2 linked regions of the Caenorhabditis elegans genome follow. The protein of the gene in region 2 interacts with the protein of the main gene of each other region in a pairwise test. Each region holds a gene or a part of one and is shown on either strand. Other genes may lie near its edges.

Region 1 (8,136 bases), on a different chromosome or scaffold from region 2:
CACTTTAATTGCATACCGTTGTTGAGGAACATCTATTCGGTGAAATATGTAGACCTTTTTATATTACCTATACGGTATCGGAATATTATGAAAACGCAGGACCATATTTTAAGGGGACATTATATTTTCATTAAAGGGTCTCGAGACTCGCCACGTTATTCATCATTCCTGAATAATCTAAACAGCAAAAATAAAAGAACCACAATACAATTCTTTCAAATTTTTGTTGAAATACTATGTTTTTCTTGATCCACATTTTTAATACATTTCTACTACAAATGTTAAATTCCAGTTTTTAAATTTATTTTTAGTCAAGCACGGCAGTTCTTCTATCCTTCAAAATAAGCGATCAAAAATTGGTTTTGCAGTCTTTGATAGTACTGAACTCACAAGAAATGGTAGCGCATGTAGAGGAAATAGAGGAAATGTGTGAATTTTTTCAGTCATCTCAGGATAACATGTATCTGTACTTTTAATATACCGTAATTTCCCCATTATACTTGCACTGCCTTGCTCCACTTTTACAGCTTTCTCGATTATCTTTGTTATATTTATTCATATAAAAATTGTTAACTGACAAAATATATGCAGAACATTTTTTTAATATTTATATAGTGGAATTGTTTTTGATAAGACTTAAGACAATCGAGATATAAACCGTCAAAATAGATCATTGGGGTGTAAGTCTAATGAAAAATACTATTCAATACTCGTTTTTTGCTCTAACATTTGTATATTTTATAAAATTTATATTTTATAATATTTTACAAATATTTTATAAACAAGATGTTTGAATTAAGGTAAACTAACTTTGCAAAAAACTTAACGTTTCAAAACGAAAGAAGACATACAAAAATATTCGGTATGTATGTGGTGAAGGAAACTGGTTAAACAGTGTCCTTGTGGTCCGTATCGGAAAATTAGATTGTATTCATTGATTATCTTTAAACGGATCATATTACTTGATATTATTTTATTTCAGATACGATTATCTAATTCAAATTAATGGCAAAGTATCATCAGCGGGGATTTTTTATAGTCTAACATGACCGAATATCAATTGAACACTTCTAAATTTTCAGTCAAAGTTTTGGTAATTTGCCAAATTTCCAAAAAAACTTACTTTTGGAGTAATTTCGAGAATTGCTGCAGGTCCGCTAGAATGTACGGACAATTAATCGAAATTAAAAATTCACTTCGAAAACTATGATAGGTTTTTTTACCAAAACAAATTCAATACATGAATAGTTTTAAAATAATATCTGATTCCATTAGTCCCATGAACCACTCCAGTTTCATGAAATTACAGTTTCATTGGTTTATTTCTCGGTTATTCTGATAGAGACAAATATTACCAATTTAGAATGTAATGGTAAGTCGAGGTAATATATATATTTTGATGTAAAAGAGATTTGAAAATCGGTACCTGTTAGGACACCGCATTAGCCAAATTGATCCATGTGTTCTACATAAATTTGCAATTTAATACAAGTTTGAAAAAACTTAAATCAAATTCTCGACCTACCATTTCGCGTACTTTCGCTTCGAGTTTACACCGTATTTAATTTCAAATTTGGGTTATAACTTAAAGGGTGGAGGGATTTTGAGAACTCACTACAGTATGACAAAAAAATCACACACTCCTGAAATGTTTCTTTGGTACAGTTGCACATTTCATTTTACCGTAATACCGAGTAGAAAATTTCAAAAGAATTACTCCTATTTCAAGATTCTAGATTGCAACGATAATCAAAACAATATTAATAACTACATGTGTTCCTTGTGGTATGCTTCTCGTCCTCTAGTTCTCATAAAACAAACATGGTCAAGTAAGATTCCAACGTGAATGAGATGAAGAAGCAGTAGAGAAACGAGCGTGTTTGTCCATGCGTCCCATTCGTACAGTTTCTTTGGTTGTCTACCTAAACTCTCTTGTTTTCAAACACTATTTCACCCACCTTCTCCCGCATTTCTCTTTCACTTTCCGGGAGGAACTGTTCGTTCGTCGTGCGCCCATCGCAACCGACCTGTATCTGTATGTATCCTCTCATTTCTCTCTAATAACCTACTTCTCTTCAATCTACTTGGATACATGATTTGTTATGAAATGTTTTATCTTTTATTATTTCATGAAGTTAGAATGTTCCTTATGAAATTGAGTTTACCATCAGAAGTGGATTAGAATTTAGTCAATGGGATTTCAACTACATTTAAATCTCAGCTATGTATTAAAGATAAAATCATTTTCACAGAAATTTTCTATGAATTGTTACTGATAAACGTCTATTTGTAAATTGTCAACATGCTGTGAAATACACCTAGGACTACTAGCCTGAAATTATTCCTCAACTCCAGTGATAGGTTTCTTTGGTATATCACCCTAAAAACTAGTTACACCTGCCTCGTAGGCACGAAAGTAGGCACCCTCTATTTGCATGGAAGCCCTATTATATTATAGGTAATTTTTCAGATTCACAAGAATGACATGTAGTTCAAGTTCAATTAAAATTCCTACATAAAATTCCCTACTCCTTCTCCTACTCTTTTCATTTTTCTATTTCATCTCAATTCAATTTGAACAAACTTCAAACAATTCGTTTCACACATCACAAACATTGTAAATACACATATATCGTTTGTTGAAAAAAGTCATGTGGGTTTTTAAGGTTAAAGTTTAACCGATTTTATTACACTATCTCTCACGGTTGAAATATTCAAAATAATATTTTCTTCTAGAAAACAGCGTTTCTACATATTCTGTTAAAGCTAACGGCCTAAATTTTAAATCGACTCTATTTTTAAAAAATTGATCAGGTTACCAACTAGCGATGTTTTATATTTTGTTCAAAGGTAGGAGCTCCAAAGTTTGTCAAAAGTCAAAAAAAAAAGCTTAAAGTTTACCAAGAGCCAAGTAAAAATTTATATTATCGAAACATGGAAAAACGTATCAAAACATAGTTTTTTGTTAAGATTCTCTGCCTTGTATGTTTGTATTTGAGGCGATGATGATGGCAAGACTCGTATGTTTATTCTTTTCCTTTTCCTGCAAACTCGTCTTTTAACGGATTATTTCGGACCCATGCACCGCCCATCTTGACCGTATTAAGACAGTTTTTGTGTGAATTTTCGTTGGATCGAAACACTGTGAGTATTGTTTTTATTTTGAAATATATGGATCTTATAATCTGAATGTTCAGTTGGAATATCGCAGTGTGGCTTTTGATCTCCGCACACACTTCATCTGATTGGTATAAAAATATGTGGAACAAATTACTGATTATTTTCACAGTTTTCATTTTGAAAGAAATTCAAACAGTGAGCTTAGTCAGGTTTTGGGAAAATCGTTATCGAAAGTTGAGTTTTTCAGTATTTCTAGTTTTTTTAGTGTTTCGTTTGTGGTATATGTTCCTTCATTTCATTAGCAAAACAATAACGTTGGTCTGTATTTCAAAAATCTGTCATGTATTTCCAAAAGAATATTTAAAAACATCTCGTTTCTATTTTCAAGTGCCTCTATTTTCATTCTTGTAGTAACCTTCAAATTCCAACTAATTTTAACTGTTAATTGAAGGAAATTTCTTCAAATTGTGTTATTTCTAATTCACCCGTCTTCTTCTTTTCCTCCATCTATTCCATACGAACCGAATGAACAAATCAGTGTGATATTCCTGCGCATTCGACCGGTTTCTCACTTATTTTCTTTCTATCTTTTCTCCTATTCCATCTTCTATAATTAGTCCTTTCCGTATGTCGTCCAGTTGACCCATTTCTCCGTTTTTCATTCAGAATTCTATATGGTAGAAGTGGAAGCAAAACCGTCGAGTTTGTCAGTTGAAGAGGATGAAAATGAAAATGAAGAGGAAAAGCTTGAAGATGTGGAAAAAGAGAAATTAGTGAAACAGTTAAAGTTTGAAAAAGCAGAACGAAGACGGATTGCAGAGGAAATGGAAAAAGAGATTCGAGAAGTTGAGGCAAAATGGATGGAAAAAGTTAGAAAAGCATCTGAAGAGCGAGATGATATTGGAAAGAAAATTGATGAGTTTGAAGAGAAAATTGATAGTCTACAAATACAAGTACATAGGTTAGTTCATGATTTAAATCACTAGAAAAGCTCAAAAATGTTTATTGAAAATTAAAAAGACCTGGAATTGGTACCAAAATGTATATGATAAGTGGTAGTTAACTTCCTGAAATTTCGAAATAAAATCAATATGTCATTTTTGAGAGAATTTGTTGGTGCACTTTAAACTAGAGAATTGTCGATCTGAAACTTTTCGGGCCAGTTTTTAATCATAATGATGTTGTAAAAAATTTGAATGGCTTTAAAAATTTGAAATTCAAGTTTTTTTAAACGTTCGAAAATAATTTTCAGCAGAAGAAAACTAATAAATATTTAAAAACCATTGGAAAATGGCCCGTTATGAAAAAAAATATATTTCAGAAGTGAAACATATAAAATGGAAATTGAAGAAGCGAACAAACGGCTACGGTTACAATATGAAGCTCTCCAGAGAGATTATGAGGAAACAATGCAGGAAAGAAGTATTGTATTAGAAGAAAACTCTCGTCAAAATGAAGAGAGGGATCGACTGCAAAAAGAAATTGAAAAAATGAAAGAGGTTTGATTTTACAATGACAATCAAATTAAAAAAAAATTTCAGGATTCTGAAGAAGTTGCTGCATTAAAACAGAAACTTGAAAATACAAGAAGACTCTTGAAAGTCAATATGGAAGAAACTGCTCAGGCAAATGCTCGAAAAGAAGCTGCAATTGCAAGGCTTACAGAAGCAGAACAAAATGGAGCTAGAATTACAGAAGAAAGAGATGAAGCTTTGAGAAAATGTCAACAGACAACTGGAGATGCAATTGTGGATATTTGGAATACTCATTCTGTTCAAATTAATTTGGTAAGTTGAAAGAAAACTCATTTCAATCGTTTCGTTTCAGACAGCCAAGATAAAAATTAAAAACGAAATTAATTTCAGCCCTTCAACAAACCAAACTTGGGAATTATGCTTGGTGGAGGCCGTACGGACGATGGTTCAATTGTTCATGGTCCAATATATGTTAGACAAATTGCTCACGGTTCTCCATTTGATAATGTATTGAAAAAGCTGGATCATATAATGATGGTCAATGACATATCTGTAACAGATATGGACGAAAGAAGTGTAATGGGAATGTTATCCAACTGTCATCACATTCATCTTGTTATTAGAAGAAGATCAAATTGCAATAAAATTAGTGATGTTTGTCTGCCATTGAACTATGGTGAGTTACTTATTACATTTAAGAGTGTAGTTTTACATTTCAGGTGTAGGTCTTGAACTATCCAATGGAGTATTCATTAATTCCTGCGAACCAAACGGTGCTGCTTCTCGTAGTGGATTGGCTCCAGGGCAACGAGTTGTTCATGTTATGCACACTCCTGTTTATGATGCTAAACATGCTGAGATGCTAATTAAAAATTCTCGAGAGCCTCTAGTCATTGGAATTCTTCAATCTACTAAACGAGGTGATCATAATGGAAAGGATAAACATCGACAAACTATATTTTCGAGGGTAAACCTTCGTTATAAAATGCTAGTGAAACTTTAGTATTCTTGTTTCAGTGGTTCAGTCGAAATGGTGGATCTGATAAAGAGCGAACTGTTGTTGCAAAAGCGAATATTGATCGTTCAAATGATCAAGTTCTTCTTCGTCAGGGATCTCTGCGAATGCCACAAGCTTCTCCAGCATCAATGAGTCCCTTGGTACGGTATGGTTCTCTACGTGCTCCAACCTATTCAAGTAGCATTGATCATACAAAATTAATGCTGGATGCACTGGATAAAAGATTCAATGCAAAGTTAGTTTCCTTCAAATTTGATTACTACAAAGTTGAATGTTCAGATCCACAGCGCATTCTGAAATAAGTTCATCTTCAACAGCCGCTCCAACAGCTTTATGGAGCCCATCTTCAGTTAATGAAAAAGATCTCGTATTTGCTGGAACCAATATCGAAGGAGTTCCAGTATATGTTCCTAAGAGTACCATATTTAGCACACCAACGTCACCTGTGACGTAAGATTCTTGACATTTTTAGTCAAAAAAAAGAAGAAAACTCTGACTTTCAGAAGACTAATCCGTCAAAATAGTGAGCAAAAACGAACAATGTCTCAAATATCATCTCATCGAGGAGGATGGGATGGAAGAAGCTTTTCATCGAACACGACAACTTCAGATGCTCGTCCATATTCTATGCACTTCACACCTACATCATCAACTATAATGGAAGGAAAACCCCACAGAAGATCAGCTGTTTACAGTCCAAGTCATCCACCAGTATATCCTACAATTCGGGATGACTCTATGTCTTCTGTTATGTCTTCGAGTAACTCCATTCGACTTCCAAGCACAAGTTTTTCCAATCAGTATCCTAATAATTGTAGGTTTTCAAAAGTTAACTGCTGTAGTCTAGAAATTGTTTCAGCTACCTGCAGCTTGACTGGAGGGAGTGGAGTACCTCCACGTCATTGCATAAGTAAAGATGGAAGTGATTTTTCAATTTCAACAACTGGAAGTGCAATGCACAGTTACGCTGAGGGAAGATCCAATAAGAAATATCACTTGCCACGTGGAAATCATCACTCTGAATCTCTTCTTGTAAACCGTTCATCTCAACCGAGACTGGTCGAGGTTCCAAGAAGTGATGTAAAACTTTGTGGTGGAAATGCGATTGGTACGAGAAAGCAATTCATGTCAAAATAATCTCCGCTATATTTTAGGTATCCTCGCTGAAAAATCAATTGGTTCTGACCTTCTCGAAGGAGATCTCATTTTATCAATCGATGGAAATTGCGTTCGAAATACAACACTCGAGTGTGCAATGAATACTTTATCAGCTGATAATTCGGAGTTAACAGGTCTTCTAGTTCAAGACGGTGGAGATCGATTGAATCGTTTGAGACTTGGAGCTGACGGTGACAGTTTCTTCCTTCGTGTTAATATCGATAGATCAATGGAGAACAAAGATGAACTGGATTTAAAATGTGGTGATGTTGTTTTCGTTGACAAGACTATGTTAATGGGCAAAACTGGAAGATGGAGAGCATGGAAAGTGGACAAAGAGGGACGACAAAGAGAACATGGAGCTATTCCAAGTTCAACGACTGTTTATCAGGCAATTCGAGCTAACAGATATGCAAATCCGTTCCCGAAGAAGGCTTATGAGTGGGTTGAGAAGTTGGATACAAAAGTGAAACGACCGGTTCTTTTGTTTGGAGCAGTTGTTGAGCCTTTCCTTCAAATGCTTGTTGATGAATCTGATAAGTTTTCAATTGTTGCAAGAGAGTCTTTAACTGCAAGTTTGGATGAAGTATCGGCTTTATTGAAGGATAAAGTATTGATTGATTCGAAACAAAACGATGATGTTTATGATCTTTATCACGTCGTATCAACTGCTCATATTATGGATATCACGGCTCAAGGGTTGAGTTTTCAAACATTTTCATAGTTATGCTGAGATTTTCAGACTCCATTGTGTCCTCCAAGTTGATCAGTCTGCAATTGATCGATTGAAAAGATGTAGAATGTTCCCTATTCTTGTGAAGATTCGATTCAAGTCAGTTAAACAGTTAAAAGATGTCAATGAACATATTTGTGGAGAGAAAATCAGTTCAAAAGAAGCCAAACAGCTTATTGAAAAGGTACGGTAATTTACGAAAACATAATTAACCCGCCCGGTCTCTACCGTCGTCTCATTGCCTCTCATCCAAAAACGCAGCGGGCAATTGAAGAGGCGGATCAGAGGCTCTCATCGGAGTCTATAGAAACTTTTCACAATACTTTTTCGAAACTTTTCAAAAAATTTTCGATATACCAATAATTAATTTTCAGGATTTGAAAATAGAAAAAGATCTTGATGGATCAGTTACACTTGTAGTGCCAAGTCATAATAATGTCAGCTTCATGATGACTCACGCTGTTCTACAGGTAATTATTCTTTCAATTCGTGCCGCACTTAACTTTTTATTATTTTTCAGCTGAAAAAAATAATTGAAGACGAGCAGAAAAAAATCGTATGGGTTCAAAGAAAAGTCGATGAAGAATAAATAATATTGAGAAAGAGAACATAGAATCTCCGGTGCTTTTATT
Region 2 (8,136 bases):
TAAAAACTCTTATTTCCAGATCGCCCGTGCACTTGTCCGACTTCTACGTGGTCCACGGGAGACCCAATACGTAGTTCTCACCAACATTGCAACAATATGCGAACGAAATCCGGTAGAGGAAGGAACTTACGCCATCTCAAAAGTGCGCTGAACGCAACTGAGAAAATAGCATGAAAAGCATGTAAAGACTGAGACAAATCTAGAAGAAACTGTTATACATTTATCAGTTTTTGAATTAATTTCACAAAATGATAAATTTGTGATAGCAGTGGTTAGCGTCTCAGTCTTAGAGTCACTTTCCCCGTTTTTGTGTTGTCTTAATCTGGATTGTCTGAAATTCTTTTAAAATGAGATATCTAGCTTTTTGAACGATATTGTTGCTCAATTGAAGTGCACTGTGATGTTTTTGCTCATAAGTAAATACATAGAATTCTTGGTTTTGACAAATGAGACAATCCAGATATTTTTACCAGTGAATTGGAGTGCTGCTTGGTTGTGTTTCAGTGTACTTGTCTTTTGATGGAACTTTTACATATCAAAAATCAATTTTTTTCACTCTCAGACGATGTTCGACCCGTTCCTAAAATCATTCTTCGTACGATCCTGTGACAGTTCTCTCGTTAAGAAACTAAAACTTCATGTGCTCACAAGTTTGGTTTCAGAAGCGAATGTTCATATCATTTTGAGAGAGTTACAGGTGAGAGAGGGTAATAAATTTTCATATGAAATTCTTTTTCATTTTTCAGACCTATGTTCATATGTCTGATTTAGCTTCTCCAGCTGTTGAGGCAATTGGAAGATGTGCAGTTCGCGTCGGAGCAGTATCAGATCAATGTATGACTGGACTTGTCCAATTGATTTCTTCTTCCGATGAGAAAGTCGTATGCTCTGCTGTAGTTGTCATCAAGAGACTTTTGCATGCTTCTGCCCCTCTGAATCTTCTTTCAAGGCTTATGAGGCTCATGCCGAATATGATTGCAGCACAAGCGCGAGCTTGTGTCATTTGGCTCGTCGCCACCCATGTCGAACAAGTTCTACACATGGCTCCAGACTTTTTGAGGCTTATTGCAAAGAAATTTTCGACGGAAAATGAGCTGGTTAAACTAGAAGCTCTGAAACTTGCAGTGAAGTTGTGGCTTGTGAAGCGTGATGACTCTGAAAAGATTGTACAATACGTATTCCAACTTGCCCGATTCGATCTCAGTTATGACGTTCGTGATCGATGCCGATTTTTACGGAATCTAATGTTCAATACGGAGATTCTTTCACAGCATATGGAAGAGATTTTCATGTCGAAAAAGCCAGCACCAGAGCTTATTAGTAGTTTCAAGGAACGTGATAAATTCCAATTGGGATCTCTGTCACATGTGTTGAATCAAAGATGTACGAAATACATTGATCTACCCGAATTCCCAGCAACATCAAGTGATTCGTTATTAAGAAAAGAAGCACATGCACCGAATGAATTGAAATTGGATGATAGTGACGAAGAAGAAGATGATGATGATGAAGATGAAGAAGAAGACGAAGATGAAGAAGAGGAGGATGAAGATGAAGAAGATGAGGAAGAGGAAGAAAATGAATCAGAAGAAGAAGAGGAAGATGATGAGGATGAAGAAAGTGAAGAGGAATCTGATGAAGAAGATGAAGAGGAGGAAGAAGAGGATGATAGTGAGCCAGAGGAGAAGCCTAACCCAAAACCATCTACTAAGAAACAAGCACTCATTCTCAATAAATCAAGTGAGTTTCAATCAAAACCGATTTTAGGGTAGCACAAAAGAATATTCCTGTAAAATCTCGGACCAAAACAAACAAATTCGTGAAAATACCAAGAAATAACTCTATCTTGGATTTATTGTAAACTTTAAAAAACCCCATTAACCACATTTGGTAAGGTATATATGCAAAACATGAAAAGTGTTTGAAGTACAGATCTGTAGAGTTACGGTATTATTCGTGGCTACAGTACCCCTAACCGTATTTGATTCTTAATATTCAAAAAAATTCAGAACCAATGAATGGTAAGCCAAAAACAGAAAGAAATGATCTCGATTTGCTGATTGACGTTGATTTCTCGGCCGCGGGAAGTCGTCAAATAATGGATGCAACTCATATCGAAGAAAAAGAAATTGAACTTTTGAATGTAATTGAAGGAAACGGGCTAATATTATCAATTAGTTATCCGCGTATTAATGATGGACAATACACGGCTATTCGATTTGGAATCACAAACAAAACCGATGGAGATTTGTTAGGAGTTGAATTAAAAACTGAAGAAGGTCTCGATGTGAAGGGAAACTCGATTATTGGAGATATTCCGTCTGGAGCACGAGTTTCTGTTGATTTGCTCGTAGATTTTGGAGATAGTGCGACAAGTAGAGAATGGATACTTACAAGAGATGATGGTCATGAGAAGCATTTCAGATTTGAGGTAATCTTTTAAATAGTTTCAGAGGCTTTTAAAATTATTTTTTCCACAAAAAAAATTGAAAAACGTAAATACTCCCTTGATGGTTAATATTTTATATCAAAACTTGTATAATTCCTGACTAGATTCCACAATCCGCATCTTTTAAAGATAAACTAAATTTTTTCCTAAATTCTAGGTCCCATATGGTGAGCAAGTTCAACCAATTCGTCTGTCTCCAGAAGATATTTCAAAAGAAAGAAGTCGTCTTGGAGGTCTCAATCGGCATGTGATACAACTCGAAAATCCCATTAATCCTTCGTCAATTGCTCTATTTGTTAACGCATTTTCTTCGGATTTGACCATTTTCACTTGCCAGACACGTTCACGAAAGGATGTTTGTATTCTGACAGTTTCAGAAAAATCGATTGAGTGCTGTTGTGACAACTCGGTGATAGGACGAATGCTGGCGTTCTCTGTCTCCAAAAATTGCTAGAAAGATTAATTCAAATTGTATTTATTTATTTATTTTGCTCACTTTTTCTTGAAATCATTCCTTTACTAACTATTCATGGTGACGGATATATAAATTTTTAACAGAAAAATTAGAAATATGTAGGCACTTTAGAAATTTGGAAAATAATGTGGGTGAATGGCGAACGTGGAACTTATATTGAGCAACAGTAAGGCGGGGCAAATAAAATCGGGGTCTAATACCAATTGGGTGGGAATAAAACATAAGCATGATACAGGATGTCATGGAAAAGAATAATAACGGAAAGAAACGAAGGAAATGATGAAATGGAGGATCCCTGAGTGAATGAAAAGTCACAGTATGCGAGAAAGGTGAGAAAAACCAAAAAATGAAATGTTAAGCCCGTGTCGTTGTAAGATGACTGGAATTGTTGTTAGACGAGTTGTTGCTCACGCGAATCGTCGATAAAATTGAATCGAGCCGCTCGACTTTTGTCATCAGGTCTTTGACGATTCGATTGATGCAAGCACCGGCGCCCGTACCGGTAGATACTCGTTGGCTCTGAAAGCTATGTAAATGTTGGCTGAGAACTATAAATGGGTTAGCAAATATTGTTTTTTCGGTCTATTCTGCATCTAGAGATGCTATCGTTTATAGTTGTGAGGGAAAAAAGAATTAGAACTCGCTGCAAGAGTTTTTCGACTAAATGTTTTTCATTCCGAAATAAGGTGTGAAGCTATTAATTGATCGAAATTTGCAGGTCTTCTTTGAATTAATATTTGGATATTTACTTTCAAAAATCCACCAAAAAAAGAAAATTTACGTACTTTTTCTTGAATATTTTTATTGTCATCGATGCGCACTTCGTCAATTTTTGCAATAGTTTCCTCCATTCGAACATCTTCGTGGTGCTGCACGTCTTCCATGAAAACATCTTCCGAGCCTTAAATAGTACTAGTTATTTTCATTCTCAAAATGCGACAAATACTTACTCATTTTAAACTCTTCTTTACTTGGACCTGGGGATGGCTCGTCCGGCAGAATTTCTGGATCATTCCTCAATGGTTCTACAATCAAACGTGGCCGTTCTGTTGTTCGAAGTTGTTCTTCTCGTAATCTATGCATTTCTTCAGCAGCAACTTGCCGTTCATAAAGCTCACTTTCCAACATTGCTATCTTTTCAATAGCATGATCCAGTTTCGATCCGAGATCAGATGCTAGATATTCCTTATTTCTTTCTGATGTTTCGAGCACATCGTTTCTCTGTTCCAGTTTTCGAATTCTTTCTCTCTGACTTTCACATTGTTCATGAAGATGTGAGTTTTCTCGTCTTAATTGCTCTTCGACTTGTGCAAATTGTACACGGGAATCGTCCTGTCGATCCTTTAAAATTCACAAAATTCAAATTATAGTTGAAAAATTTTATAAAGTTTTTTTTTTCAATTTTAATGTAAAAAATAGTACCAACCTTGTTCCTAATTTGCTCTGTGGTCATCTGCTGTACTCTGGTTTCTGCTTTTTTCAGTTGTGTTTTCAAATCATCCAATTCTGAATCCATCATTTTCTCAATTTCCGCGGAACTTGTCTGGAACTCGTTAAACTCTTCGCGCATTTGCAAGAAATGACCAAGAAGCTCATGGTGCGGTAGTCCGCGAATTTGATCCTCAGACAAATCCATTGATTTCTGATGATCTGAAAATATTAAAGGTTTAGAAAATTGTTCAGGATATTCAACAAAAATTATGAATCGTAGGAAAAAACGTATAATGCCGCCTGTGAACACACTAAACCCTTACAACGTTCGGCCACGTGTGGACAAAAAGTGAGAGAATAGAATGGACATTTGGGAAAGAGAGAAAAAGAGAACTGGTCGAACGGAGGAAAACAGAAGCAACTACGTATTAGTTGCTACCGCAAATGGATGTTTTTTGAGGTTTAACGATGTTGAAGAAAAGTCTCAGTATTCTTATAAATCGGGATATCTAAGGTCGCCATCATCTGATAGACAGCTAAAGTCATCTCTCTGAGGAAAGATGGAAAATCCTCCAAAGTTTTTGACACAAGGCATTCGAGCAAACAAAAAAGTGGGGGTGCTCCGGCTGCTCCGGCCGCCGTGTGCTCTGTGTTTGTCCTTGCTCCCATAGCTCGTCCGCACTTCCGCTACAAAAAGTCGAACAGCTGTGCGAGTAACACCAATAGGCAATAATTTTAAGATCAGATAACCTTTGAAGATTTCAAAATACTTTGAAGGAAAATTTTACTGTTTTTTGGGTTTAATACACTGATGAAGTTCAAAGAAATCTGCTATAAGAAACTAATTCCGAAAAAATTAACACTTTTTGTAAATAGAATAGAATAGTCATTCAAGAAAATCTGTGTTAAAAGAAAAATTGGTAAATTTCTTCAAAGAGTATTCCAGAAATGGCAATCAATTTTAGTAATCGATAATTAAACTTCGGAAATAGAAATTAAATTCATATAACAGTCCAATTTCCCACACGAAATTCAGGTCAAACTCACGATAGGCAGCAGTCGGAGGAATGGGGAGCGGCAATGGTCGCGTATAATAACTGATAACAAATAGAATAAGGAATGCAGAATATATTGAGCATATTATTTGAAAGATTTTCAAGTTAAGCGGGTCAATTTAGTTGTAACGATTGAGACTAATGATGTAAGTGAGAATTTGGAGAGAATGAAATGTATTAACAAACATTTAAAAAATGAAATTCCAAAACGCCTACGCATGACTCATCGAGTTGTTGAGTTCTAATTGGATTAGGTGTGGTGAACACAGAAAATCGTACGAATTAGTGAACAGAAACACGAAACCGGTTGAGATAATAAATGACCAATTTCAGCGGTTAATATAGGATTCACGAATCACTGGGCCACGTCACGAGGAGAGTTGGGGGTGGTATAATCTGTTTTTCGCGTTTTTTCCCGCGCCGCAGTACCACACCTAAATTTGATATTCGAAAATGTAAATGAACGAGAAAAGTGCTTCACATACACACAAACTATACGATTCATCTATTTCCTATTCAGGTCGACATGACACGATCAAGGTTAACATCACTCTGCTGAAGAATTGAATAGTACGAACAGGTGAACAAAAAAAGAAAGCGATCGTCGCAAAAGATTCCTCCACATTGAGAAGCCTATCAAATCAGTATTTGACTTCACTCGTAAAGTGCCAATCGAAGAGCGAGAGCTCTGTGTTGACATTTTGGTGCTCTGACAAACTGAACTGATCATAAAACTTTTTTGTTCGGGGGCAAGCAAAAGCTGAGTAAATACGTGTTTAGCAATGAAAATGCCGAGTTTAGAAACACTCAAAACTGCCAAGAATAGAAGACAGAAATTTCGTAAAAGAGTAAATGGTGCAAAATTTCAAAGCAATTGTTGAAAATTAAAAGAAGAAAAAACATTTAGTTTAAAAGATGGTTTCAAAAATCTGTTACACAATATGTCGTCAAATATGCTGCATTAAAAAACTTGCGTACTAAGAGAACTACAGTAATACATATATTTTCAATGCTCGCCCGGAAAATTAATTGAAAACGTTCAACGAAGAATTTTGAATTTGGCCTAGTGGAAAATAATAATTTCAAAGCCATCTTTTCATGACGATAAATCTCGAAATCGTCCACCCAACCAGGTTAACAGGGAATTTCAATTTAAAAATTTAAAATTAATAAGCAAACAGGCAAGACTCCTATTTGAAACAGTACAACAATTTTGAATTCAGGCAATGACGCCAAATACCATCAAAAATGAGTCAGTATGGTGTGGGAGAAAGACTAAGACAGTACTGAGGAAGTCAGAGGCGGAGAGTGAAGGAAAATGTTGATGCAGTCTCGTGTATAGCTTCGCGTGAAAGAAAATATTGAGGAGTTTCGAGAGACGATTGAGAAGATGAGAGAGTGACGGACGCGCGGAGGGATTAGAGATTCCTCTCACGCAGACAATCGATTTTCGTTGGAGAAAGAGAAGATGAAAAAGAAGAAGGAGAATGGAATGCCAGCAGTCATCAATGCAACAGACAATAAGTTTGACAGAGACATATACAACTGGCCAATTAGGAATTGTCACTTGGCTTCTCTTTACAAATTAATTTCGGTTAGCTAATACTACGATTACGATCTTTCGAAGACAATTTAATTCGAAAATCGCCAAATTACGAAATACTTCTCAGGTGATCAATTGACTTTAAACATTGAAAATTTGTGACTGAAAACCATGACCACACCCAGGAAAATCACATGATTCAGAATAAAAAACGTGAATGTTCTGGAAAACTGCGTCATAAAAGGTTTTGGTTTAAAAGGAAACACTTGATTCCTGAAATACGAGGAAAATTGCAAAATTAAAGAAAAGTGCAGAAAACATTCAATTTTAGTGAAGAATATGATAAGAAGTGGAATGACAAAGAAGAAAGTTCAGTCAACTGAAACAGGGTTCTGCAACAGAAGAATGTGTGTCACATGACGTATTCACAGCAATATGACCGATTCAATCTTTTCGAGAAACAGGAAAAAAGTGGAAAAACATCGATATTATTTGAGTGCGCTGTTCTAAAAAAGCGAAAAATTCTGGAGAAAAGAAAAAAAACACGAACTCAAAAAATAGTACATTTAAAGGCGCGCGGGTTAAATCGAATGGGTCTCGCCACGGAAAAAAGTTTATGGTAGCATTTATTGTTTGCCGCGGTTCTTTTTCAATTATATAATTAATTATTGCTGTTCTTTTCGAAAAATGAAATACAGAAAACCTTTTAAAAAATAAAGAGAGCTCGTTTTATTCATAAAAAGTTATTCCCCAAAATACGGAAAAGCAGCCGCCGCAACGAAGAAGACTACCATAAACTTTTCTCGTGGCGAGACACATCAGAATAAATTCATGCACCTTAAAAGTACACGTTGCAGATAATTGTGAAGTTAGAATAGGTTACGATACACGTATGAAATTTAAGTTGATACACGTTTAGCGCTTTGAATAACAATAATTCAGGTATAAAACCATTTTTTAACTTGAAATTCTTGTTAGGTTCGTTTTTTTTAATAAGTTATTTTTTATTAGCAATAAAAATGAGGACAATTTGTATAATTAATGCTGATTTCCAATGAATCATATTCCACAGGAATTAGTTGCTCACGCGGGATCATAAGATCATAACAATCATTCTCAGAAGCACAGTGGTGGTCGAACAGCCATCAAATTCCGCACAACTTTCCGGGTCTCGACACGATGT

Evidence for each region.
Region 1: the proteins of nud-2 (region 2) and magu-4 interact in a two-hybrid assay, tested with the Caenorhabditis elegans proteins (one large-scale study listed by BioGRID).

Annotation. Positions count from the first base shown.
Region 1 is NC_003282.8:10,006,022-10,014,157, forward strand, and holds the start of magu-4 (PDZ domain-containing protein), read left to right. Parts: upstream 1-3,731; 5' UTR 3,732-3,794; coding exon 3,795-4,081; intron 4,082-4,441; coding exon 4,442-4,619; intron 4,620-4,661; coding exon 4,662-4,907; intron 4,908-4,985; coding exon 4,986-5,271; intron 5,272-5,314; coding exon 5,315-5,562; intron 5,563-5,612; coding exon 5,613-5,848; intron 5,849-5,892; coding exon 5,893-6,063; intron 6,064-6,116; coding exon 6,117-6,427; intron 6,428-6,472; coding exon 6,473-6,721; intron 6,722-6,767; coding exon 6,768-7,470; intron 7,471-7,513; coding exon 7,514-7,688; intron 7,689-7,878; coding exon 7,879-7,974; exon of another isoform or gene 7,975-8,024; coding exon 8,025-8,093; 3' UTR 8,094-8,136.
Region 2 is NC_003279.8:7,854,844-7,862,979, forward strand, and holds nud-2 (Protein nud-2), read right to left. Parts: upstream 4,575-8,136; 5' UTR 4,561-4,574; coding exon 4,351-4,560; intron 4,266-4,350; coding exon 3,875-4,265; intron 3,826-3,874; coding exon 3,710-3,825; intron 3,444-3,709; coding exon 3,279-3,443; 3' UTR 2,913-3,278; downstream 1-2,912. Other genes in the region: apb-3 (AP-3 complex subunit beta), read left to right, coding at 20-142, 563-697, 747-1,740, 2,010-2,431, 2,607-2,903; R11A5.3 (uncharacterized protein), read right to left, coding at 8,070-8,136. UniProt on the Caenorhabditis elegans protein: Part of a complex with lis-1, which is recruited to the nuclear envelope by unc-83, where, in turn, it recruits dynein to the nuclear surface and regulates nuclear migration in hypodermal precursor cells.